3 linked regions of the Arabidopsis thaliana genome follow. The protein of the gene in region 1 interacts with the protein of each later gene in a biochemical or structural test. Each region holds a gene or a part of one and is shown on either strand. Other genes may lie near its edges.

Evidence for each region.
Region 2: the proteins of ADA2A (region 1) and HAG1 form a complex in vitro, tested with the Arabidopsis thaliana proteins (2 studies listed by BioGRID, with this or other methods).
Region 3: the proteins of ADA2A (region 1) and CBF1 form a complex in vitro, tested with the Arabidopsis thaliana proteins (one study listed by BioGRID).

The regions. Positions count from the first base shown.
Region 1 is NC_003074.8:2,468,145-2,476,905, forward strand, and holds ADA2A (ADA2 2A), read right to left. Parts: upstream 4,952-8,761; 5' UTR 4,919-4,951; coding exon 4,866-4,918; exon of another isoform or gene 4,764-4,865; intron 4,638-4,763; coding exon 4,576-4,637; intron 4,493-4,575; exon of another isoform or gene 4,492-4,492; coding exon of another isoform or gene 4,440-4,491; coding exon 4,237-4,439; intron 4,109-4,236; coding exon 4,043-4,108; intron 3,957-4,042; coding exon 3,831-3,956; intron 3,753-3,830; coding exon 3,680-3,752; intron 3,574-3,679; coding exon 3,513-3,573; intron 3,424-3,512; coding exon 3,365-3,423; intron 3,211-3,364; coding exon 3,160-3,210; intron 3,073-3,159; coding exon 2,844-3,072; intron 2,755-2,843; coding exon 2,544-2,754; intron 2,452-2,543; coding exon 2,173-2,451; intron 2,065-2,172; coding exon 1,870-2,064; 3' UTR 1,687-1,869; downstream 1-1,686. Other genes in the region: AT3G07730 (uncharacterized protein), read left to right, coding at 41-1,462; AT3G07750 (3'-5'-exoribonuclease family protein), read left to right, coding at 5,342-5,464, 5,557-5,613, 5,702-5,794, 5,996-6,074, 6,169-6,293, 6,601-6,744, 6,835-7,074. UniProt on the Arabidopsis thaliana protein: Required for the function of some acidic activation domains, which activate transcription from a distant site. The exact mechanism of action is not yet known.
Region 2 is NC_003074.8:20,210,469-20,220,036, reverse strand, and holds HAG1 (histone acetyltransferase of the GNAT family 1), read right to left. Parts: upstream 6,632-9,568; 5' UTR 6,445-6,631; coding exon 5,812-6,444; intron 5,725-5,811; coding exon 5,660-5,724; intron 5,551-5,659; coding exon 5,470-5,550; intron 5,371-5,469; coding exon 5,299-5,370; intron 5,055-5,298; coding exon 4,886-5,054; intron 4,616-4,885; coding exon 4,572-4,615; intron 4,327-4,571; coding exon 4,227-4,326; intron 3,828-4,226; coding exon 3,759-3,827; intron 3,675-3,758; coding exon 3,620-3,674; intron 3,391-3,619; coding exon 3,272-3,390; intron 3,163-3,271; coding exon 3,069-3,162; intron 2,957-3,068; coding exon 2,815-2,956; intron 2,726-2,814; coding exon 2,662-2,725; 3' UTR 2,384-2,661; downstream 1-2,383. Other genes in the region: BZIP25 (basic leucine zipper 25), read left to right, coding at 1-151, 259-319, 786-972, 1,248-1,323, 1,428-1,553, 1,647-1,952; DJ1F (Class I glutamine amidotransferase-like superfamily protein), read right to left, coding at 7,161-7,340, 7,647-8,012, 8,106-8,579, 8,810-8,989.
Region 3 is NC_003075.7:13,019,397-13,026,122, forward strand, and holds CBF1 (C-repeat/DRE binding factor 1), read right to left. Parts: upstream 3,601-6,726; 5' UTR 3,167-3,600; coding exon 2,525-3,166; 3' UTR 2,384-2,524; downstream 1-2,383. Other genes in the region: RS40 (arginine/serine-rich splicing factor 35), read left to right, coding at 5,772-5,877, 6,660-6,726. UniProt on the Arabidopsis thaliana protein: Transcriptional activator that binds specifically to the DNA sequence 5'-[AG]CCGAC-3'. Binding to the C-repeat/DRE element mediates cold-inducible transcription. CBF/DREB1 factors play a key role in freezing tolerance and cold acclimation.

The DNA of each region.
Region 1 (8,761 bases):
TTTTTCTATTTTTAATCAATTTAATAGAGTGTTGATTGCGATGAAGAAGAAAGCCATTGTGATTGATGATGGATATACAAGGTTTATGGTGAATGAAATGTCTGAAAAAATCGATGTTCCAATTATCTGTCTTGACGAAGATGATGATGATGATGATCTTATGGTTGATAAGGAGTACAACGTCTTCTTGGATCATCTTCGAAGAGGTGATAAGAAAAGTTCAAGCACTCGCCTTGAAGTTGACAATGGAGCATCTGACATTCGTAGATTAAAGATCTTTTCTTGTGATTCAAAGAGATCTAAGCTTGGGAATGAGAATCCAGTGAAGAACAGAGTTAATCAACAGAGCAAGAGGAAAACTGTTGGAGTTGAGGTTGAAAGAGTTAAAATCCGAGAAATCATTCAAAGAGACAACAGAGTTGCTGAACGAAGAAAGCGGAGGATCGCAGAGTTAGAAGCTGCAAAGACTTCAAGAGACGTTCCTTCACTCGAAACCCAACAAGAAGACATTCAACAACGAGACAACAAAGTTAGGAAACTTTCCGAGTCAAAGGCTGAGACTTTAAGAAGAGATGATGTTCCATTGGTTAAAACTCAAGAAGACATTCAAAGAGACAACAGAGTTGCTGAACGAAGAAAGAGGAAATGTGACGATGCTTTAATAAAAGATGTTCCATTGGTTAGAACTGAAGAAGACAAGAGGGTTGCTGTGGAGATTGATCACGTAGAGCGAGTACATAGAGTTACAGAGGTTAATGATGTAGATGAGACTTCTTCAAGGAGCAAAGAAGTTTTTGTAGGGAGAAGGAAGAAGAATGAGGGGAGTGAAGCGGTTGTGGATAAGGATTACATGAGGTACCTCACATGGCTTGTAGATTCTCTTAGCGATTCGACAACTGAGCCAATGGAAAATCTTCAGAAAGATGATATGGATACTCTAAAAGAATCGACAATGGTACCTGAATTGGATCCACTAGTAGAAGTGAAGGTTGAACCACATGATGATTGGTCTGATTATATAATTGCGATGGGTGATTCCCCTTTTTTGGATGGAGAGGAGTGTACACCGTTTGTGGCGTCCAAGAAAGTGGTTGATCTTGATGAAGGAAGCAAAGAGAATGAAAGTAGTAGCAGTTGGTTTAGAAAGGAGCTAATGGATGTTTTGAAAAATCCATATGATGAAGGAGAGATGAAGCAGCTCCATCGTTACGTATCAATCCATAAAAAAATGACTCGATGCAGAGAACTACGAAAGGGAAGAGGATCTGATTATGAGACTGACGAACTGGGACAATCTTATCTAGAAAGTTTCCCTGATTTCGAAAAAGAATACAAGCTTGTGGTTGGTGTTGATAAGGCAAGAGCTTTGAAGTTGCTGCGTGGCTTTTTCTTTTACTTGAAATATGTTTCTCATGATGGTGTTTTCAAGCCTTGGGAGAAGACTCAAAGTTGGCAACCTTAGAAATGGTAAAGCTTTTGGCTTCATGTAGATTAAGTTTTTGGATTTCTGTCTGTTTTTTTTTTTTTCTTTGTTGTTGGATGGCAATCTGATCCAGTGTAGTTTCTTGTAACCAAAGAATCTGGTTTTATTTAGGTTTTTCCTGAAAACTGATGCAATGTCTCAAGACTTTCTGATCTCATATAACAAAAATTGAAGGAATCAGATGAGTGAAGGCATTACAATATTCAGTTTAAACGTTGTATCAAAAAATCTGAAACAGCCTTTGAAGGTCATAACAATCAGACATTGTCAAGTTGTCGAAACTAACAGAGAACAAGATGTGTAACCAAAATCAGCATCACCTTCCTTTATATTTACATGGCTAATATATGTTCGAGAAGTACATGTTAGGACCATGAAGCTATGAGTCATGTTGAGTCACCTATTCCCTTATGAACCAGCATATCATATACTCTGTCTACTTTACTCGGCTCTACTTTGAAGAAGCTATAAGCATCAGACTTTTTCTTTATCTGCCCCTTCTTTATTTCTCTTGTTAAGATATCCAACATCTTCAAATAGTGTACAGGCAGTATTCTGGTCTCATTGCACATCTTCTTTTCCTGCACAAAAAACAGCTTCAATCTCTCAAACCATAGGAATAATGTCAACAAATCAACAAAATCACAAATAAGATGACAAACATCAAGTTTGAAAATTATTGTTCTTACGGTCTCTGAGAGTAAGTCAGCTCCAAGGAGACCATCAACATCCCAAGTGTCCAAACCGCTGTATATTCTTGGAGGTGTGACCTTTGGCAGTGAGTCAGAACCAAAGGGATGCAAATTTCTGGGTAACCCTCTTGGACTTTTTAGTGTTTTACCGGCTATACTGCCTGGTGCACCGTGGTTAAGCCGCAGCAGCATACTTTCTTCAGCTTCCTTCTTTCTCTTCTCTTCTATAAATCTATTTGCGTCTGAAGTTGTCCTGCAACCAGCAGTTCTAGCTTCCTGCAACATTTATTAAAAGCTCAACTTAATGTTCCCACCTAATTGAGTTTGTAATCCAGTACTCAAGCTTGGTAAAATTTTAAGCATCAAACCTGAAGATCCTCGATTCTTCTGAGAATTTGGTGCTCTTCAATGACTTTCTTAATCAGTTCCTTGTGCTCTTCTTTGGATTGGAACCGCGCAAACACTTTACAGCTTTTATATATTTTTCTCTCCTCTGCTGAAAGGCTCATCTCATATTGATCAGGGTACAACAAGTTTCTTTCCAGAACAAATTCCTTCCTCCGCTTCCTCTCATCAAGCCTGCCAACAAAGGCACAATCTTGGCTTGTAGCATTGGCTTATGAAAAAATTCTCCGGTTTAAAAATGGTTGTTCCTGTGATAAGTGTACCTTTTCGAGTAAATACGAAGAACCTGCAGTTTCTGCTCACGCTCAGCATCTGTGTCAGAATCCTTAAATTCCATGTCAGCAAGCAGTTGCTCAGCATCGTTGTCATGTTCGATCTCAAATTCTTCCCTCTTTAGATTGTAACCATATAACTCTGTTACTAATGGAACTTTCTCTCCAGGAAGTCTGAGTTTCTTCTCCCCGACACTCCTGTCAGATTGTTGTTTTGCAGCTAAGACACAAGGGCCGTTAACTACCTTTAGTTTTTGTTCGCGTAAATATCACTTTGCATAAAAACTTGTTCCAGTATATAACAAACCTTCCAACTTGATGATGTCCTTAGCCTGCGGTACATTGCCTTTCTTCTTGACTGTACAATAAAAAGTATTACTTTACATATGGAATCATGGAAGAGATAATATTTGGGGTCGTAGTACGAAATGCGGATGATTTGCGTCCTTAGCCATAAATCTAAGTGCAAATAATGTCTACAATTTTATATAGATAAAAGCATTTTCACATACCTCCAGCTAAGGCAGACAAAGGTGGATCTATTTCATTGACCTTCCCTGAAGCTTCGTGTCTGCCCATGGAAACATAATAGTACTTTTAAAAAGGTGCATTCAACATTGTAAACGTAGGTAAACTATTGTTACAAGCATAAGTATATACTTGATTTCAGCTGACACAGGTAACTCTTCTTTTGGAGATAGCCTCACAAATGCAGGTATTTCTGTGACAAATAGTAAACAGAGCTCAGCATCCTCCTTTTTTCAGTCAAGGTTAATATACGAGTCCCAAATCAACAAGAAACCCCGCTAATAGATTTTAAAGCTGACCTGTTTTGACTGCACTATCTTTACTCATAGCAAGCAGCTCATCTTTGCTCTTTCCAATAGTATGGGACAAGTCCTACAGAGCGGGGAGCTAGAGTAAATAAACAAGCTAGGTTCAACTATCTGACGATCATGTGTTTTCATCAGTCCTTACCGGAAGTGGAAAGCATGGTGACTGCATGTAAGCAGAATTGAAGTGTTTAATACATTCTGTCGTTGTCTTACTACCAACATGGTCTGCAACTTCTTTCCAATTGCCAAACCCGTATGTCGCAATGGCCTAACACAGTCAATTTACTTCCCAATAGTCAGATGGAATCTCTATATAGACATGGGAGTGTACAATCAGAAACGATTAATGATTACCTCAAGAAGGAGTATCTCTTCATCGGCATTCCAATCAGAAGTAACAAGCGAAAAAGACAAATTGTCCTGTCAAACAAAAGGGTAGATTCAATACAAACAAAAATACAACCATAGAACATTTTCTTTGTTTTAAACACAATCACTAATCTAATTACTTTTCAGCTGACAAAGCGTTGAATTGAATTCAAATATACTGCTCGGCGTTGGAAACTAACCATAACACGATATGGGTGACTGTTCTTGTGACGATTAAGTTCAACGCCGACAGAAAAGCATTCCACACAAAGATCAAAGTCCATACAAACAGCACATTTGAAACGAACCAAACCAGACAGATCTTTATCGCAATAGTTACAACAGTAAAGGCCAGGTTTCCTCTCATTCCCAGCTTCAATTCCTACAATGTATTGGTACATGTAAGAACTTTTGGAAAACGCAGCTTGGTACATGATACATCAATGCATATCTATCCACAGCAGAAACTTTAGTCCTATCAGTATCACACCTAATTGCACAAGTAAACGGAAACCTACCGGTGGAAATTGATGCCGCAGCATTCTCAGGACCCAATGATATCTTTTTCCTTTTTGATTTTCTGAAACAGCCAAAATCATCAAAATTAGGATAAAGACAAGAGACGACAGCAGTATGAAATCAAGAGCCACCCACAAGTACCAAAAGAACTCCGATTCAGATAATCAAACACAGCTAAGTGGATTACCAGATATTGAAATGTTTTCGCAAAGACAAGTAAGTAATTGAACAGAGAAAACCCTAGAAGACTTCGAGCTAAGATGGACAAAGAACGAAACTTTAAACGAACCCTGGATTCAGGTCTTCCTCAGCAGGACGAGAAGCTAGTTTCGAACGACCCATCGGCACCAAGCTCGCACTTCTTCCCGGCAGATTGAAGAAAAAACCAGAAGAGCGAGAAAACGCTAAAAAGCAGTGAAAAAATGGTAAGTCGGTAAATGACTAAATTACCCTTAACAAGTGTCAATAATTATGTTCACGCCATCTTTAAACCCTACGGCAGTTGTCAGTGGTCACGTCTCTCTCTTAACCTAACCAATCCAAAGTTGCCGCTAGGGTCACCGGAAAACTTCAGAGTTGTGTCTTCTATTGAATTCTCCGGGAAGGTAAAGAAGATTAGTGGGTTTTGATTGTGCTGTATAAAGATGTGTACTTTGTTTGAGCTGTCTCTTAAACCCTAGCACCAATCCGTGAACCTTGAAGTTTGTCATTCCGGTAGAAATTCCTCAGCAGTTGATCTAATTCGTTCTCTGTGTAGTATTAGTGATGGGGCTTTCTCTTGGGGAACAACATTTCATTAAAGGTGGGATTGCTCAAGATCTTCGAACTGATGGTCGGAAAAGATTGACTTACCGTCCTATCTACGTCGAAACCGGTGTTATTCCGCAGGTAGTGTAATCTCCTAGAGCTCGTCCGCTTCTCATTGTTGCTTCCCAGTTGTTTAACAGATATGTTCTTTCTCTTGTTTTTGTTGGCTCTAGGCTAATGGTTCAGCGAGAGTTAGAATTGGTGGAACCGATGTGATTGCTAGTGTAAAGGTACTTCCTTTGTTCTCTCTGCTACTGTTCTATTGTTGAATGGGAAGTGCTATTGTAGATGTTACCCAGTAATCTTGTGTAATTGCAGGCTGAAATTGGGAGGCCAAGTTCACTTCAACCCGATAAAGGAAAGGTTGCAGTTTTCATTGATTGCAGTCCAACAGCTGAACCGACATTTGGGGTGAGCTTTTCTTTTATTTCGTTTGGTTTTGGTTCTATCTAGCACTTGTCACACCCGTTCTATCGTTCTATTGGTGTTTCTCTTACTAGTGGAATTGTTCAACATGAGATTTTGGTTATCATTACTTTTCTTCAGAATCTCCTAAATTCTACTGTGTTAAGTCTTTAGGCGGCTAATTCTTTGTGATATGTTGTTACTTAGGGGAGAGGAGGTGAGGAATTGTCTTCTGAGCTTGCTTTGGCTCTTCAAAGATGTCTTCTGGGTGGCAAAAGTGGAGCAGGTCTGCAATCATGTTTATGCAATGCTTTTTTTTACCTGCACACTGTTACGCTTTCTGTTTGTAACGTTTATAGCAATTCATGTTTTGGTACCAGGAGCTGGAATAAATTTATCTTCGCTTTTAATCAAAGAAGGAAAAGTTTGCTGGGACCTTTATATTGATGGTCTTGTCATTAGTTCGGATGGGAATCTATTGGATGCCCTGGGTGCTGCCATTAAGGTAATTCTTGTGATGTGTGTTTGGTTTTCTCTCTTAACCCTTAGTCTCAGGTTTTAGTTACGAATGTTAGTGAGTAAATCATACCCATCAATCAGAATCATGAGAAAGGAAAGGCCAGAGAATATAGGAAACGAAAGGGAATGGGTCTTTAGTTAAGTGTATATAGATTAGCTCAATGTAGTTGTCTTGTTATTGGTTTTAGTAGCTTTACGATATGTTTCCAATTGATAGTTTAAGCAACCCAAAAGTCATCTTTCCTCAAGGCTGATCACATGCTTTAATGCACTTGTTGACTATACTCCTGCAGGCTGCTTTAACCAACACGGCCATCCCAAAAGTCAATGTTTCAGCTGAAGTAGCAGATGATGAGCAACCAGAGATTGACATCAGCGACGAGGAATATCTTCAATTTGACACTTCCAGTGTCCCGGTCATAGTCACGTTAACAAAAGTAATCGAATCTCACTTTTCTTGATTCACATCGACATCTTCTTATGTACATTTCGCTAATCTTTTACCATGCTGTCCTTGGTTTTTGCAGGTGGGAACGCATTACATAGTTGATGCAACAGCAGAAGAGGAGTCTCAGATGAGCTCAGCTGTATCTATATCTGTGAATCGGACAGGCCATATATGTGGGTTAACCAAACGAAGCGGGTCTGGCTTAGACCCAAGCGTCATCCTTGACATGATCTCTGTTGCCAAGCATGTGACAGAGACTCTGATGAGCAAACTTGATTCAGAGATTTCAGCCGCAGAGGCCTGCGAAGACGAATCTTGACTCTTGAGTCTCAGAGAATCAAAGTTTCAAGATGAAACATGTTAGCAAGGGATCAACAATATTTGTATCTGTGGAAAATCTTATACGAAGTCAGAACAGATTAAGCTAATCAAAATCCTTTTTCCTATGTTCTAATGTTCCATGCTTTGTGATAGTAAAGGTGATATTTTTGCCATTATAGTATTAGTAACATTATATCTCATCTAGGGATTATTAAAAGAGGCGTTCCTTGGATCTCTGTGTTTAAAGTGAAAGACATAACAAGTTACAAAAGGATTTGTGATATTTTGGGAGGAGGAAATGAGAATGGAGATGAGGTCAGCAAATGAAATTAAGTGGACTTGGAAAAAAGAGAAGATTGGTGGTCCATGATTAAGCTCAAAGGTCAAAAGAGTGTGTGAGCAGTGTTGGTCACGTGTATCTCAGCTTCGGGTTTGGTAAAAATGGCTTTGAAACATTCAATTGTTTTCTGTAAAACTCCCAAATCCGATACTATTCACATTTGTTTCCTCCTTCATTTCATAACAAGCAAGCTGGCAGAGAAAATTTGGTAGTCATCTATTATGTCATAGAATTATGATATGGTACATACTACAAAACAACAAAAGGAGGGAGCAAATAGAAAGCGTTAAATGGCAAAACTCAACGAATTTACGTATATTCCGATGAACTAACTAACAATGATATTGATAACTGTTTTTGCGAATCAACTAACATCGTTTCCACATTTAAATTGTGACTAGCATAAACAATTAAAAAGTAAGATTTGAAAATCAGTCGGTTAACTAATTGGAAAAGAAAATGAAACTAAATTGATTGACTAAAGTGATTTTTTCTTTTCTTATTGGCCACTAACTCTTATTTTGTTTTCATTATGGAAAAAGAGTCAAACCTAATCAAATATATTTAGTCTATGATTTACCCTAATAAAATATACACAAAAAAATTGATAACTACAGTACTTAAAGGTTTTTAACTGTAAAAGTTAATTTTGACAGTAAAAATATTTATTTCTAAAAATAAAATAAAAAAAAAAAGAGAAAAAGATTTAATAGCAAAAATGGTCGTGGTACGGAGAGACGGTGGCGCGTGGAGGCGGGAGAGGAGCGTGGAGGAAAAGAAAAAGAGCCAAAAGAGAGGAAAAAAGCAAACACTTTCACTTGGTGGACCCATTTGTCCCTCCCCCAGACTCTCTCTTCTCATCTCTCTCTCTCTCTCTCTCTTCAAACCCTAAAAATTCACGCATTTTGGCACAGTTAAGTTCGCTGAATCCCGTTCCTCTTCCTCTGTCTCTCTCCCCAAGAAAATCACTCAGATCAAAGCTCAAATTTCGGATCTCACAGCTGTCGCTTCGGTAGGTATTTCCTCTTCTTTTCCCCCCCTTTCTCTTCTCCTGTTTCGTTTTCGATTTGGATTACACGAAATTCATGTGATATGTTGCTTCTTTGGGTTTTGTAAAATGATTGCTGGTGAATTGTATTGGGAATTTTGTGCAGAGGAAAGGATGACCAGAGAACATCCTCCCGAGCCTCTTGATTTCTTCATCTGGACTGTTGAGGTATATTCAATCAATCATTCCTTCTTTATAAGCCTTTCATGATGATCACTTCTTCAATTCGCATGTTTCTTGGAATTGAGCTCTTCATTATTAGACTTGTTGGTTGCAGAATCATGTTTATTAAATTAT
Region 2 (9,568 bases), about 18 Mb from region 1:
GCTCCCTGTTGATGATCAAGGGAAGAATCGGAATCGTGCTCCGTCGTCTGATCCGGTTGATTCTTCAGCTCCTGTTGTTGTTGATCCTAATCAGTATCATGCGATTCTTAAGAGCAAGCTCGAGCTTGCTTGCGCTGCTGTTGCTCGTCGTGTACGTCTCTTAGATCCATTTCTTATGTGTATTCAGATTAAAGGAATTGATGATTTCAACAATAAGGAATGTTTGGTTGTGTGTTGATTTGATATGATTTTCTTCAGGTGGGAACTGTGAAACCGGAAGATTCGAGTGCTTCAGCTAGCAATCAAAAACAAGCTCAAGGTCACGTATCGTTGCTTTGTTTTGGTTTTGGTTTTTTGACTCTCTCTAGCTTTGTCTCTCGTCAATGTCAATGTTTAGATTACATAGAGAGCAAACATTTCATCGAGATTTGTTTGTCAATTTGATTAGACAATTAATTAACTGCTAATCTCTCTCAGTAAACTCAAGACTTTAAGGGAATTTGAAGATAAGTAGGCTTTGTTTTGGAGATGACAGCTTTCTCTGTGTTCATTCATATTTAATTCTGTTCTAGTCGAGTCAATTTTTTCTCTGAGAAGAAAGAAACAAGGCATACGTAGTATTATGCGTTTAGATGAGAATTCTTAGCCTTTTGACTCTCCATTCTTATTAGTGTAAGTTAGTGCATTATACTAGATAGCTTTCTTATTTCCCGCTTCTTGTGATATGTACCTGGATGAAATGTTTTTCAGTTAGTGGATAATGGGATTATTTTGAAATTATCTAGGCTCCATTGTGGCACAAACCTCACCTGGTGCTTCATCTGTTAGATTTTCTCCCACAACAAGCACGCAAAAGAAACCTGATGTTCCAGCCAGACAAACTAGTATTTCATCACGAGATGATTCTGATGACGATGATCTTGATGGAGACGCAGATAATGGAGATCCTACTGATGTGAAGCGTGCTAGGAGGTACAAATCTTGATTTTTGTACCTTAGAATGTTTCTGGTAATCGTTCTGAATCTCGAGGCTGATAGATATAGACATGCTTTTGGGAAAAGGCTTGTACCTAATAGTTTCTACTTTCTACTCTCTCTAAAGAGAAAGAAAGAACTGAAATCTAGTAGAGGAATGTTTCAGTCAATTTTATGTTGTGACTGTTGTTCTTAGGAAACAGTCAGGCTCTATATATTTAACTTTTTCGAAGGTCATCCTGATTCATTTTTTTTTTTTTGTAATTACCCAGGATGCTCTCAAACCGAGAATCCGCTAGGCGCTCTAGGAGAAGAAAGCAAGAACAAATGAATGAATTTGATACACAGGTTCGGTCTTTTATTAGTTGCTCATACATTTATACATTTCTCGAGTCTTTCTTACTTTTCAACAGTCTTCAGGGGTTTATAGGTAAAGTTTTTACCAATTGTAGGTAGGCCAATTAAGAGCCGAGCATTCAACTTTAATTAATCGTCTTAGTGACATGAATCATAAGTATGATGCAGCTGCTGTTGACAACAGAATTCTAAGAGCTGATATCGAAACTTTGAGAACAAAGGTACTCTTGTGACTCACGAGTGTTAAGAATTTAAAACACCCAAGATTATGATTTAATAACTAAGTTAATTGCATTGATAAAAAACCTGTGCAGGTTAAGATGGCAGAGGAAACTGTGAAAAGAGTGACAGGAGTGAACCCTTTGCATTGGTCAAGACCAAACATGGGCATACCATTCAGCAACACACCGAGTGCTTCCTCTAGTATTCCGCCAAACTCTAACCACATTTTGAAACCAGCAAATTCAAGTACCAACACCAGTGCTGGTTTAGCACAAAATCAGAGAGTGGAGACGGCAAATTTCTTGCCGGAACAGGTGAACCGTGAAGGCATGCAGAATCCATTTGCTCCTGATTCTAATCTGTATGAAACCCTACCCCATTGGAATCACAAGCATTAACCAGAAAAAGAGTCATTGGTTTTGTGATTTTGATTGAGGTAACTATTGTCTGTATTTTTATTTACTGTATGACTCAGCGACGGTAAACTCTTAATATTATATATATGATTGGACATGATGGAAGAATGTATAAGCTATCGTGCTTCTAAGGCAAATCGAAGTTGAAATGGTCGTAGACGTAATCACGTAAACATGTGCAGCAGCGTAAGCGTATAAACACAAATGTATCAATAGTTACTTATGGCAAACGTAACCGTTTTAACGAAATGTTGAGCAACAACAACTCACATTCATCAGATTAAAGAAATCTGTGCAGCGTAAGCGTGAGTGTAAGCGTGTAAACACAAATGACCCATGACGCTCATTCTCTTCACCATTGTTGATCCGATCAAAACCACCGAAACTGGTGATCCCGTTCGATATCAAAATTTGGTTATGTGATTTTCATCAGAAACATTTAGTAAAATGAAATGTGTCTTTACAGTTGGAAATAAGCTTTATAGAACAAATTTAACCTACAAAGTAAAAACTTAAACATTCTGAATCTAACTAAATCAAATATTTACCTATCCGAAAAAAAAACATACAAACAATTAAGCTCCAGTATACATGGGCCTAAAATAGTATACATGTATTCCCAGTTCCAATGAAAGTATCTTAAAATGAAAGATCTAGAAAATGATATTAATATAACCTCTACCATCTTCTTCTATTGAGATTTAGCACCAGATTGGAGACCTGCTTGTACTTTGCTATGGAAGTGTGTTTCCAACCTTTTAAGAGAAAGAAAAACAAAGTAAATGCACTATTTCATTACTGAATAAGAAGAGAAGAAATGAAATGAAAGAAAAAAACGTCTTACCTGGTTGCACATTTGTAATAAATGGTATCGGGGGAGTTGTAAGTTCTACAATTGTTAAACATCCGTCTCGCATCCGCAACAAACATATCCAATGTCACGTAATACTGTTCCGACTCTACCCTCTTTGCAATTACCTTCAGATCTGTGTTCAAACCATTTTTTGGTTACCAAAGTGATTTAACACTTCTACTTAAAAAGAGGACAAATTCTGGATAATTAATAGCGAAATTGATATTTTAACTATATCTTCTTACCAATGGGATCCTTAATGATGTCATAGTAATCAGGGACATCGCGAGAATCCACTGGTTCTTTGAAAGGCCAAGCATCAGCATGGTCTTGCATTGTCTGTAGCAATTAACTACAGCTTGTCAAATTAAAGGGCATGTAATTGCAATAACATAATATGTAAGAGGACATAATAATTAATAACAAAACAAAAAAGATTTATCACAACCTTTAAAAGCGCACGCATGAGTGCATTCAACTGTTTTTGATTTGTCACCATATCAGCAGAACCATTGAATAATTTGAAACGAGTGTGCCCCCACTGATCTGGGGTCCAACCAGCTTCCCCTGCAACAGTATACCATAATTCATGAATTAGCCAATTCATGTATTACAGATAAACCCTTAGCCCACAGCTAACAAATGCAGGAGAATCTCAAACATGCATATCAACTTGATCTCATGGAGCGACTAGCACAATCTTAATTTTGAGATGACTAGAACATTTTAAAGGGAGATATGTCTATATTTTGGGTAAGAAACTGCAATAACACCATCAAGTAGAATCATAACTTACTTAAGCCACGTATTTCCTCAACTTTGATAATCTTTCTAGGAATTCCAGCTTCATTCTGCAAAAATCATCTCATTTATTATTACTACTGGAAACATTGTATACAATAATAGCCACAAGACATGAAACCATTGATGTTTACCTTTAGAAACTCAATTTTTGGATACACATTCTGACAGTTTGATAACTCTCTTATCCTTTCATCAATTGCCTGATATTATAAAAGTACAACCGGATCAGAAACTGATACGTATAATTAGACAGAAATGTAACAATGGTTACTCGTTTAGTGTTACGTTGCTATGCTCTCTTGAAAGCAGATAGCTTTTGGGAGGGCAGCTTGATTTTTGGGCTCATAGGGGAAGACAGGAATTTCCATTAATTAATTCCTCGAGAGAGAGAAGAGAGGAACTTTCAATAATCGAATCCTCAAGTTTGTATTTCTTATGTTTTTAATTTTTTTCAGAATCAGCCATAATGCTAGAGTTAAATAGTGAAAGTAAAGAAAGTAAACAAATAGCTTCGTAACCTGAAGAACTATTTGGGTATAGATGAACCTGAAGGCTCGAGATATTTTTTCACCACATAAAAGGTATTTTCAAAGGCTTACCTTTCTTTGCTGGCGTATCATGCTTGACAAATCCGTATATGGCAGCTTTGGATCAATTTTGCATTCCATAAGGAGACCACCATCATAGTCTTTAATGAACCTAAGAAAATTTCAAAGGTTTTTATTTGCAAAAGTAAGTTTCAAGATGAAGAAGAGAATGATAAAGACAAGTTTTAAATAGCTCTCTCGTAGCATAATCAGCCACGCAATAAAATGCTTGTATTCTAAGGTTTGTGAGCTTAATTGGGCCAACAAATATTTAAGTTAGACATCATACAGATAAAGCACAGAAGTTAAGAATGGTAAATGAGCAGTTTGAACTTAAGAGATACATAGTTTCCATACCCATGCCATACATCTTTCTCCAAGTAAATCTCTTTAGTAAAACCCTGCACAAGATAATAGACGTAACAGATCAACTTAGTGGACGACTGTAAGAATATAAAAATTACAGTTAGAATCCAGAAAGTAGACTTGATAGCTAAGTGTGGAAACAGAACTTTTAGAAGTGAAACTCTGAGGTATCTCCTATTAACCAATAGAAAACATTACATCCAAAACACAGTTCAACTACTTTTCTGGAATGTACTACAGTTGGTCGAAGTTTGTTGAGAGATTAAAAATAGAGCAAAAAATTGCACAATATACGAAACACCAACCTGCTTGACGAAGTAACCAACAGCATTGTTGTCAGCATAAGTAAGAAAATGCGTCAATCCATCAACATCACGTGCATGTTGTTTCAAGTGGTTCATCAATCTGGTACCGTAACCTTTTACTTGTTCATCTGCTGTGATTGCACAAAATGCTATTTCCCCAAACTTCTGACTGAATCCCAGGGAAACAATGGAGTTAATAAGCATGTCAAGACTGTATTCATGCTCATTATGACATCAGACAGTTTCAGAAATATTCTATAGGAAAAGTAAGCTGTGTTTGATGATAATATAAGATAACAAGTCAACATGCTACTCTCTAAACAGCAAAAAGCTGTATAAGCGTATTCACATACATATGGTGGAGAAAATCATCACTGGGTCAAAAGATGGGAAGAGTTATGCGAAAACCTTACCTGTGATATGGACGATACGTGATACCACCTACAACTAGATTCCCTCTTAGTACCATAACAGACTTATGTTTCCTGGGCAAATAACATAAGTTACAGATATTAGAATGCTTACCATTTGCGATTGTTTGTTACAAAAATTGTCAATGTTTCACTTTAGTTTAGCATGTTTACCTATCCATCAGAAGACGAACAATGTACTCCTTGGGCATATTAGGTAACTGTCTTGCAAAAATGTTCTTCAACCCAATCAAGCTGGAATACATTCAACAAATTATTCATAAAAAACGAGGTTAGAACGAAGAATGCATAGCTGATTAGAAGCTAAATTCAATGGCAGGAGACAAATGATGGAAGGCATTACCACATCATATGCTCATCAATGGAATCATTTGAGTAACAAACAAATTTGAGTCGTCCTGCTTGCTCCTAAATGAAAGATATCACCAAATTTGTCAATGGCGATTCTCTGAACTCATCTAGTAATTCATTAGCATAGATCCAGTGATAAGCTACCTCTCTTTTCAAAGCCTCTTCTCTGGCAATGTAAGCTCCGCTAGTCTGGAAATTCTCAGCCAATACCTTAACAGACTCATCCTTTGGCACGAGCCCTGAGATTGAGCTTCCTCCAACAGTGCCACTCACACCAGTCCCAACCACAGATGATCCACCATCTTTTCCACCATCAGAGCTCTCAAGCTTCACCGTGGAGCTTTCCGTCTTAAGTTTAGTGTTGCGACTCGAACCGTTGACTCCAGAGCTGGAATCGAGTCGAGCGGCGGTGAATGTGCGGATAGAAGAGTCCTGGTCCTGTTCAGGAGCAAATTCGTCCTCGTCATCATCCACGACTATATCCTCTGATTCATCAGGATCTGAATCTGTATCGGCGCCGCGAGCGGAGATGCTCTCGAGTTCATCGTTGGAGGTTAAAGCGCCGTCGCGAGTATCGGCAGAGAAGGAGGAAGGAGGGAAAGAGGAAGAAGGAGGGGCGTGATCTTCAGAAGCGGCTGCATTCGCTGCCGTGGTGGCGGCGAGTTTGCGTTTGTGGAGAGAAGAAGTGACGGAGGCGGAGGCGGAATGAGAAGGAGAAGGAGTCTGAGAACTGCGGGAACGATTGGCGGCGTTGAGGTGGGAAGAGTGAGAGTCCATCGAAGCAGTATAGTGAAGGTGATTGAGAAAATCGTGACGAAATCGAGAGTCTAGGGTTTTTGCTCAGATAATTTGGGGGCGGGAAAGACTACGCCGACGAACGGAATATTCTGGCATCGTTTTTTTTTTTTTGTTTTATTGATCCAACAAATTTTAAACCGAAACTAATTCGGTAATTGTAATTCCTATGAGTAAATTTATGCAGTGATTAAAATGTGATTAACTATATTGGTCGGATATAAACAGTACAATTCGTCGGTAAATTATTTAAAAGTTCAGTATACTTTTTGGATGAACATTAACGTCTTTAATCCGTTTATGTGTTGTTTTATTTTATAGTATGTTGTTAAATTTAACTTCACAAAATTTAATGTGTTTGGAATCTGTTACTAGTATTTAACAAGGAAACACAATTTGCTGGTGACAGATTTTGCTATCTCTAATCAACTTTAGTCTTGAAGTAGTGTTACAACATAAATGGTCAATAGAGCTTGTTTACCAAATGTAAAACGAGGAGAATGACAACTTGATAGTGGTAATTTCTTATAAAAAAACACAATTAGAAGAGGTGTAAGCAAGTGTGGCAACTCTTCTTCCCATATATATATGCAAATCCAAGCTTGTACATAAATAATTAGAGGGACGACCTTATATTTCGACATACAAAGATATGTTTTTATTTTTTTAGGCATTAGACGTTAAAGCACCACTTGACATTAGAATACAACAGAGAGACCAAGTGCAGTCGACAATGCATACAAAAAGGCAGGAAGATCGGAAGTTGATGCGGCTGTGACCAGCTTGTCGTCGGTCACGCACCGTTCAGATTCCACGATCTCACCACCAGCAACCTTCACAGCCACCTTTGTCCCATAACTACTTGCACATCTCTTCTTCTGCAATGTAATAATATAGCATGCCACAATGGGAATTAGATGAGTTATAACAAGCTGGCAAAAATTATAATCTATGCTAAGGAAGTGGTGCCATAAATGTGATGAATTATATCTTACTAACCTTCAACAATATGCTGGAATAATATTAGTCATAACCATAACCATAGGAGATTCCTATGTGCTTAGAGCAACTTATCTTGACATTTTTGTTTCGTTTAAATTAAAATATGGTTTGGTTCGGCTTCAGTTTTAACTTTTAAGTCTTTAGAATAGTAAAACGAATTTTTGTAAAACGGTGTATATTACCTTAAGGGCGCCTGTGGCGGCAAGTAGCCAATTTCCCATTCCAATGGCAGCAACAAACTTGCCTTTCTCAACAAACTTTCTGACCAATTCGACGGCCTTGGGGTTCATCACCAAGAGCTCCGGAGATCTTCCTCCGGGAACCACAATGCAGTCGTAATCATCCACAGAGACATCATCCCACGCAACGGTCACATAGAAGTTGTGACCAAACTTCTCAGTAGGAAGTTGCCGTCCGTCTTCAAGGTCGTGTACGATTGTAGCGCATTTCTCACCTCTCTTCTTGGTTGGCGTCACTGCATCCACTTTACATCCCAAAGCTTGAAACGCTTTAAATGGTACGTTGATACTATAATCTTCAACACAATCCTAAATATACCAAAATTACGTATTAGTCAGACCATTTTTTTAATTCCAATATATAAAGTCTAAAAGAGAGTCTTATGAAAATAAGCTACTTACCCCAATCAAGAAAAGCAAAGAAGTCTGATGATTCTCTTTAGAGCTAGAAATCTTGGAGCCAAGTGATTCTAACAAAACTTTGAGACTATGGCCAAGCGTTGGCCACCCCATAGTGGACATGAAACTGCCGTCCTTGACACAATCAGTGATTTCGAAAAGGGTCTGGACTCCAGGCTGTTGCCACCATGCGCCGCCGGAGAGCTCGATAAACGGTTTCATGCTTTCGAACGCCGTGCACTTCATTCCACCGGTGAGCAGACCTGCCGCCGCAAGAAACAGCTGGCTGTGGCAGCTCGTGAAGATGAGCTTCTTGAGTTCGGCGAATCTAGCAACAAGACTCACGCATTTCTCGTCGGCGCTCAAAAGTTCCGTGAAACGTCCACCGGGAATGATGATGGCGTCGTATTGGTCGGGGATGACGCCATCGAAGTTAGCGTTTAGTGTTAGATGGTCAACCACCAGTTCGGTGTATATCTGTAAAAAGGTAAAAGTCAAATTGAAACTCTTCTTTTTTACTGTTAAGAGTAGGCCCATGCATTTTGGGTTGAGACCACCCAATTATCTAAACTTTTTGGATAAAGATAATAAAGGGGAAAGTCCACCCAATTATGAGCATTTGATCGCATTGTTTTACTAAATATGCAAAGAACGATTGCAAGGGAAAAAAACTGAAATGAAGAAAAAGTGAAAGATTCGAGAAATGCCTCGAGGCCAAGGAGATCGTGAGCGGCCATGACGCACTTGTCGCCAGTTTTGCGACCAGGAGAAACGCAGTGGACGCTAACACCAAACGCTTGGAGGACGTAGAGAGGTACTATAGTCTCGTAGGCTTCCATGAACTCTCCGCATAACATCAAAACCGATTTCTGAGCCATTGATCCCATTGTTTTTTCTTAAGACAAGCACACACAACTAGTGTGTATATATATGAGTTCAAATTATCACAGTGTACTTTTTTTTTCTCCAATAAAAAAAGAGATAAGGTTATATATATAAGTGGATACGTTGCTCTATTTGGAGATTATTAAAAAATAATTTATAGAAAACTACAACAATTTCTATTTCGTTCAAAAAATATAAAGTGGTTTAGTTCGCGATTAGACTAGTTTGCTACGTCTACTCTCACCATTTAAAATTGAAGAGAGTTAAAATAAACACGTGTTAATTGCAAATTCCCTACGCACACCAACCTCTCACCTACTTGACATCTTCTTATGCATAACCCGGGAAGCCAAATAAAAACGGTAAGGCCAGATTAAGTGGGGATGACAAAGAAGTAATTGTAAAAAAAGTTTGTTGCCTCAGAGCCAGCAAAATAAAAAAACGTATTAAGATTTGTTTTCTTAACAAAATTAAAATTGAAAACAAATCTTAAACAATTAATGAAGAAAAGTAAATTACAAGGCTTGCATTTTATGTAAATGGCAGAGTGCATGCAGCAATGAAACTACTTTATTAAAACA
Region 3 (6,726 bases), on another chromosome or scaffold:
TGGCTGTTAAGGATTTAGTGTACTAGGTGTAGGGTAACCGTTATTCATTATTATATTCCTGAATAAAGAAATTGTCGTTAATTGTTCACCCGTGTATTAGACATAAAGATTGTGAGAGGATATTTAAAGATGCTCTTCTTGTGTAATTTCTCCCATTCTTATAGCACATCCTTCTAGAATATGAATTGGGAGAGTAGATATTTGTGCAACAAAGTATAAAAAAGTATAGAACATAATAATAGTCGTCCGTATATAAGCACGTAAGTCACCAAGTAGTTTTGGCGGAAAAACTTTTGAATTTAATTTGGGTGAATGATCAAATGTAACATTTTAGTGCTTTTTACGGTTGAATTAATAAACAGTTTGAAAAGTTATGAAATATGGTATTTTGGAAAATTTAACTAGAAGGGTAACAACATATTGTAACTTTAGGAAAACCCTAAATAGACTGCTAATTAAAATTCTCAATCATCATTATACATATAAAATAAATAATCAAATATTATTGGTTTAGAGTTATAAAAAATTGTTAATCACAAAAATGATGATTGAGAATTTAACAAAAAGTTGTTTTTTTAATATGTATAAAAAATTTAGAATTTAGATCAATTAGAAGCATGCAGTTGTAATTGTAGATCGGATCGCGAAACGAGTCTGAAACCTAATTTTGATCACATAAAAGTAGTTAATTATATTTAATATTTTCTACCATCATGCATTAACAAATGGTGGGGTGTGTTAGATTTATGAGACAAAATAGTAAAAGGTTTGAGTATATGACAAAAAGAAAATGTAATAAAAGAACATATTACATTAAGTTGATCACAATCTCAACGCCCTCTCTCTCACTCGAAACTCTTTTCTCTCTTTTCTCTCCAGCCAGCGCACTTCCTTCTCACTCAAAGAAGTTTCTCTTCTTCATGTATTCTCTCATTTCCTTCAACCACCACGTCCTTAGTCATATGATTCTCTATTCTTTAGCTACCTCTTCCCCACCTTCCCTTGACGAAAATTCTTGCATAATTCATAATTAGAAGAATTTCCTCCCAAGGTACTCGTGCTAACCCTTTTGATCACATACTTTCTTTTGATCACATACGTATTTATTTGACCCATTTGAATGTTCTACATCCATCATGATTTTTTTTGTTTTACGGTATGCAATCTAAAATCATGTGTTCTCCATCCATTCGCTACTGATTTAATCATTATCTGAGTTTTTCAACAAAAAGAACACAATTTATAAACATAGACAACCATGATTAGTTTCGGAAGTCAAAATAAAAAGCATGTTAATCAATTGTCTTTTATCTCGTATCCCCAATTTTACTTCTCAAAGTACTAAAATAGTCTAAAAACAATCATACGTACGTAATAAGAAAATAATTTACTTCCTGCTGTGTTTAAACAAAACTTCTATGAGATGTAAAAAAAGAAAAAGAGTCTACGATGGATGATCAAGCGTAATTGCTTTGTTACGTCTAAAAGGTGTTTAACAAAACTATAGCGCAGAAAATAATCAGTTTAATTAACTAAACAAAAACATGTTAGTGGATTAAGCCAAGAATTAGTCCGATAGAACTATAAAATCTACAAAATATCTCAAATCTCAATAATACGTATATAATATCTCAATAATACCTATATAATATCTCAACTCCAATCAGAAAGCTAAATAAAATATCAGCATAAGTTATATTCGCTTCCAAAAAAAGTCTGCCTCGTTACCTACCTCTCACACTCAAGTCTCTCACGTTATTTGAGATATTTAGGAGAAGCAAGACGACAACGAGAAGAAAAAAGAGTGGGTATGGTCAAGAAAAAGACAAATTATGATTTTAGTGGAAAATAGAAAGTAAAGAGTGAAGTGACGCGACACGTGGTACGAGACTCCACAGCGAGCCACGTAAGGGGGGACAAAGAAGAGAAGGTATGGACAATGGTTTCCGCGGTCGAGCCACGCTTTCAGAATTCTGATTGGCACTGGGTTATCTTGTGGAACCCATCTGAAAGATATTTTTGGTTGTCGTACGGATTTGTTTATTTCGGGTTTGTTGAATTAGTTTGTTTCGGTTTTATACACTATTTTAGGAAACTTTTTTTTATATTCTTTATAGTGAACTGGGCTGAATTTTTTTGGTTGCTAGATTCGAGACGAGCCAATTTATGTAATATTTTGTGGCTTTCTGTTGCTAAATTGTAAGATCTGTAACTTACATGAGATAGAATAAAATAATGTAATGCAGGTTTTGTGGCATATTTACAAACATCATCCACGTGTAATGATCTGTCCACATATTTTGCCTTGAAAGCAACTACAATATGACTTTTAATATCTTTTTTGTTAAATATTTGACTTTTAACTTATGTGAAGCAAAGAAGTAGAAAACGATTTGTTTTGTATTGAATTATTTTCCACTCGTTTCTACAACAATAAAATAAAATAAAATGAAGGAACCATTCTAAAAAAAGGAACTAGAATATTTTCAAACTATAGTACAAAAATGGAAACGACTATCGAATATTAGTAACTCCAAAGCGACACGTCACCATCTCCTTCGCCGTCATAATTATGATTCCATTGAACAGACGGCGGCGGTAAAAGCATGCCTTCAGCCATATTATCCAACAAAGTCGGCATCCCAAACATTGTCTCCTCATCCATATAAAACGCACCTTCGCTCTGTTCCGGTGTATAAATAGCTTCCACCATCGTCTCCTCCATGTCCAGGCCATGATTCGTGGTCGTCGTATCACACGTCTCATCTTGAAAAGCCAACGCCGCTTCAGCAGCCGCTTTTTGGATATCCTTGGCGCATGTTGACTCCGGGATTCGTAGCCGCCAAGCCGAGTCAGCGAAGTTGAGACATGCTGATCGGCCACGGAGGGCTAATGCAGCGACGTCGTGAGCACGAGCTGCCATCTCAGCGGTTTGGAAAGTCCCGAGCCAAATCCTGGTTTTCTTGTTTGGCTCTCTCACTTCAGAAACCCACTTACCGGAGTTTCTTTGACGAACTCCTCTGTAAATTGGGTGACGAGTCTCACGAAACTTCTTACGGCCCGCCGGTTTCTTCGGACAACTCGTGGCCAACGTCGGACAATAATCTCCGCCTTGAGGCTCGTAATCGGAGCCAAACATTTCAGAAAAAGCTGAAAATGAGTTCATTGATCAGAGTACTCTGTTTCAAGAAACTGGATAAGGTTTAAGTAGTACGTAGTTACTAGAGTTCTCAGTCTTTTTGGATTAATAAAAGATAGTATATCTGTCTTGGTAAAGCTATTTATATCTCTCTCTCTTTTTTTTCTTTTCAGGTAGATTCTTTTTCAAGTGTGTAGTTAGTATAAAAAGTGAGAGTGAGAATTGGTGTTTATATTGGCCGGAGGAGAGATAACGGATATGTGGGGAGCACACGGAGTTTTTGTCTCTGTGAATGACACGTGTATAGTACATAGCGAAGCAATCCCACGATGTTCCACTCGCTGTCTGACGTGTGTCCTTTGACCCTTGTAAAGAGACTTTTGACTCTTCACTCGTTAACCTTTATGAGTTCTTTAAATTCTATCGAGTGTGTGCCTGTGTGGTTGGCTGGCTGCTGTTGTTACAATCGTTTTTAAATTCCTATGAATAAACAAATTGTCATTAATTGTCACCCGTCTATAACATAATAGACATAAATATCTCTGTGAAATGATATTTTAAATACTCATGTAGTATTTGTATTGGAAGTAGATGTCCTAATATTTAACCAAAAATAATACTACAATATAGAAAAGCTTGATTTTTTAAAAAAATTAATCAGATTTGGTAATGGATAATTATCAATTTCGATGGACGGTTAAAAATGAGTCATAAATGCATATGATGAACAAAATTATTCAGTTTAAACAAACTATAACCAAAAACATGTAAATGGACCAGGACAGGACTAAGCGAAGGATTAGACCAATACAAAATAGCAAGTTATCTTGAATCCCAATAATTCCCACAAAATATCTCAATCTCAATAATAGCTATATTGTATTGACAAAAAAAAGGTATAAAAAATCTTCACAATAAGATATGCATGAAATATATTCGCTGACAAAAATATCTCTCTCGTTACCTCTCGCTCTCACGTTATTGACATTTAGGAGAAAAGAAGACACAACAAAGAGGGAAAAAAAGAGTGGTAAGGTGAAGAAAACAACAAAATTGGCTTTAGTGGAAAATAGAAAGTAAAGCTTGAGAGTGACGTATGGGGCCAGTGAAGGCTGGTGGGGAAGGTAGGGACAGTGTTTCCGCGGCCGAACCACGGGTTTAGAGGATTTTGACGTCCCCACGCATTATCTTGTGGAACCCATCTTTCTGTTTTTGGAAAATCGTACGGACGTTCGTTTTTGAATTATTTGCTGAATCGGGTTGTTTGGGTTTCTACTCTGTTTTGGGATTCTTCAGTGGATTGGACTGGATCTTTTGTAGCTTTTTGTTGGTAGATTTGAGACGCCTCTATTTTATGAATATCTTAATAGCTTTTTGTTGCATATTCAAGCGAGATAAGAAGATAATTGAGGCTTTATGGCATATTTGAAAAGTCGAAACTCGTTCTCATTCCACGTGTGATGATATGTTCGTGGCCACATATCATTCGGCCTTGAAAGCAACTACTAAACTCTTAACATAAGTGAAGCAATCCAATGAAGAGGAAAACAATTTATTTAATTAATTGTAATATATAAATATACACATTTCTTTATAACAACAATTATTAAACTTACTAACAAACTCATATGTTTCATCGAATCCAAAACTTGACATGTGGGATCTTGAGAGTGTTAAGTTGCAAGACTTTTTAAAAACTTGTATGCATTATTCATTGTGTAGATGTTATGTGATACATGTTCTAGTTCTATTAATCAGTATATTCTAATCAAAATTAAAAAATCTAATATTTGTTTGTCTTCATAATCTGTTATTGTTTTGTTTTTTTAGAAAGCAGCTTCAATTTTGTTTACTTGTTGGGCTTCTTATAATTTGTTTAACATATAGGCCCAATACTCCTAAAAAGTAGACGTTCTCGACTTCTCGTCCTTCAGACAAAATAAGAAAGTCAAAATGTGTTCTGAAAAAAATATCTTTGAAACTAAAAAGAAAAGAAAATAAAATAAAAATCCAAATGATCTCTCTTGCCTTCTTTATCTAAATCGTACCTAACTCTGTTTTCAGTTTCACCTATCTCTCGACGCGAGCTTCTTCTTCTTCTAGGGCTTCCACGCGACTACGCCTGCCAAAATCATTCTACAGGTAAATTGATGCAGTTTATTCACTCTCTATATCGTCGTGGTTCTCATCTCCTTCTTCCTTCTTTTTTTTTTGGTTGGTGAAAAGTAGAACAAGAGAATTGGTCCATCTCGTTTTTTATAAGTTGAATCTCATCAGAGCCTTCTTTGTTTTTCTGGTATGAAAGATTCATGCTTTCGTGGATTGTTCTCGTTTTCTCTATCTTGTGAATGATATTCAGATCTAACTGTAGTTAGATTAGATCTGTTGCATTGTACTTTTGATTCTAATACTGTCTAGTTCAGTTCCTAGATTTAACTGATTTGGAGCTCGAATAGATGAGTTTCAAGTCCTAATTTACTGCAAAACAATTCGATTTAGTGTGAGGGCTCTAGTTTTTAGTGTTAAAAGTTTTCATCTTGGTGACAAATTAGTTGTGATATTCGTGTTTAAATTATCATTTAAGGAAGTCTCATGAATCTTTTTTACTATTGTGGTTGTCTATACAGGAAGCATGAAGCCAGTCTTCTGTGGGAACTTTGAGTATGATGCGCGCGAAGGTGACCTGGAACGACTATTCAGGAAATACGGCAAGGTTGAGAGGGTTGATATGAAAGCTGGTGAGCCTTTTTTTTCTTTCTTTCTTTCTTCTGCCTCTTACTACTCTGTCTTTGTGGTTAACCTGAATGAATTATAATAAGCAGTATTGTTATCCACTAAGTACAATGAAAAAGCGAAATTCAAATGCATTTCATGAAATCCACTCTCGTCTTCATTCCATCCACGAGAAGGCTCTGGTGGACTATCTCCCTTTGGAAGGAGTACTAAACATTGACCACATTCACCTGGCCACCTGATGCAGCCTGCTTGAACTTTGGAAAGTACTTCAGAGGAATAAGATTTTTAGAAAAAAAATTAGTGTAAAACCGCATTTTCTTTGACGCAGGATGTGTTTGATAATCTTGGGACGCCTATACTCACACCTGGCCATGAATGGACCATAGGGAAATCCATCTCTTATCCCTCAAAATCAGTCACTTTCCATCCGCATTAGCACTGCCATCTTAATTGCATTTCATTCCTCATCACTTTGCACACTTGGACATGCCTCTGCAATGGAGAAGGCTCTCTATTTTCATTCATATCCCCGTCTGACTTCCACATTTTCAGTTGTTCCTTGACATATTAATTCCATAATGCAAGGTCTGTAACTGCTTCACTGGTCATTTGGAGTTTTTTTAAGGTTCTAGGAATGTTCAAAATTTAATATGTTCTAGGAGTTAAGTTAGGCGTTGAAGGAGGGAGGACAGTGTTCGTGTATGTTGAAGGTTCTTAATCTGGTCCACTTCCTCACTGTTAATGTACTCAGATCTTTGCTTTTGGCTTTTTCTTTTTTCTCCAGGGTTTGCTTTTGTATACATGGAAGATGAAAGGGATGCGGAAGATGCCATCCGAGCACTTGACCGCTT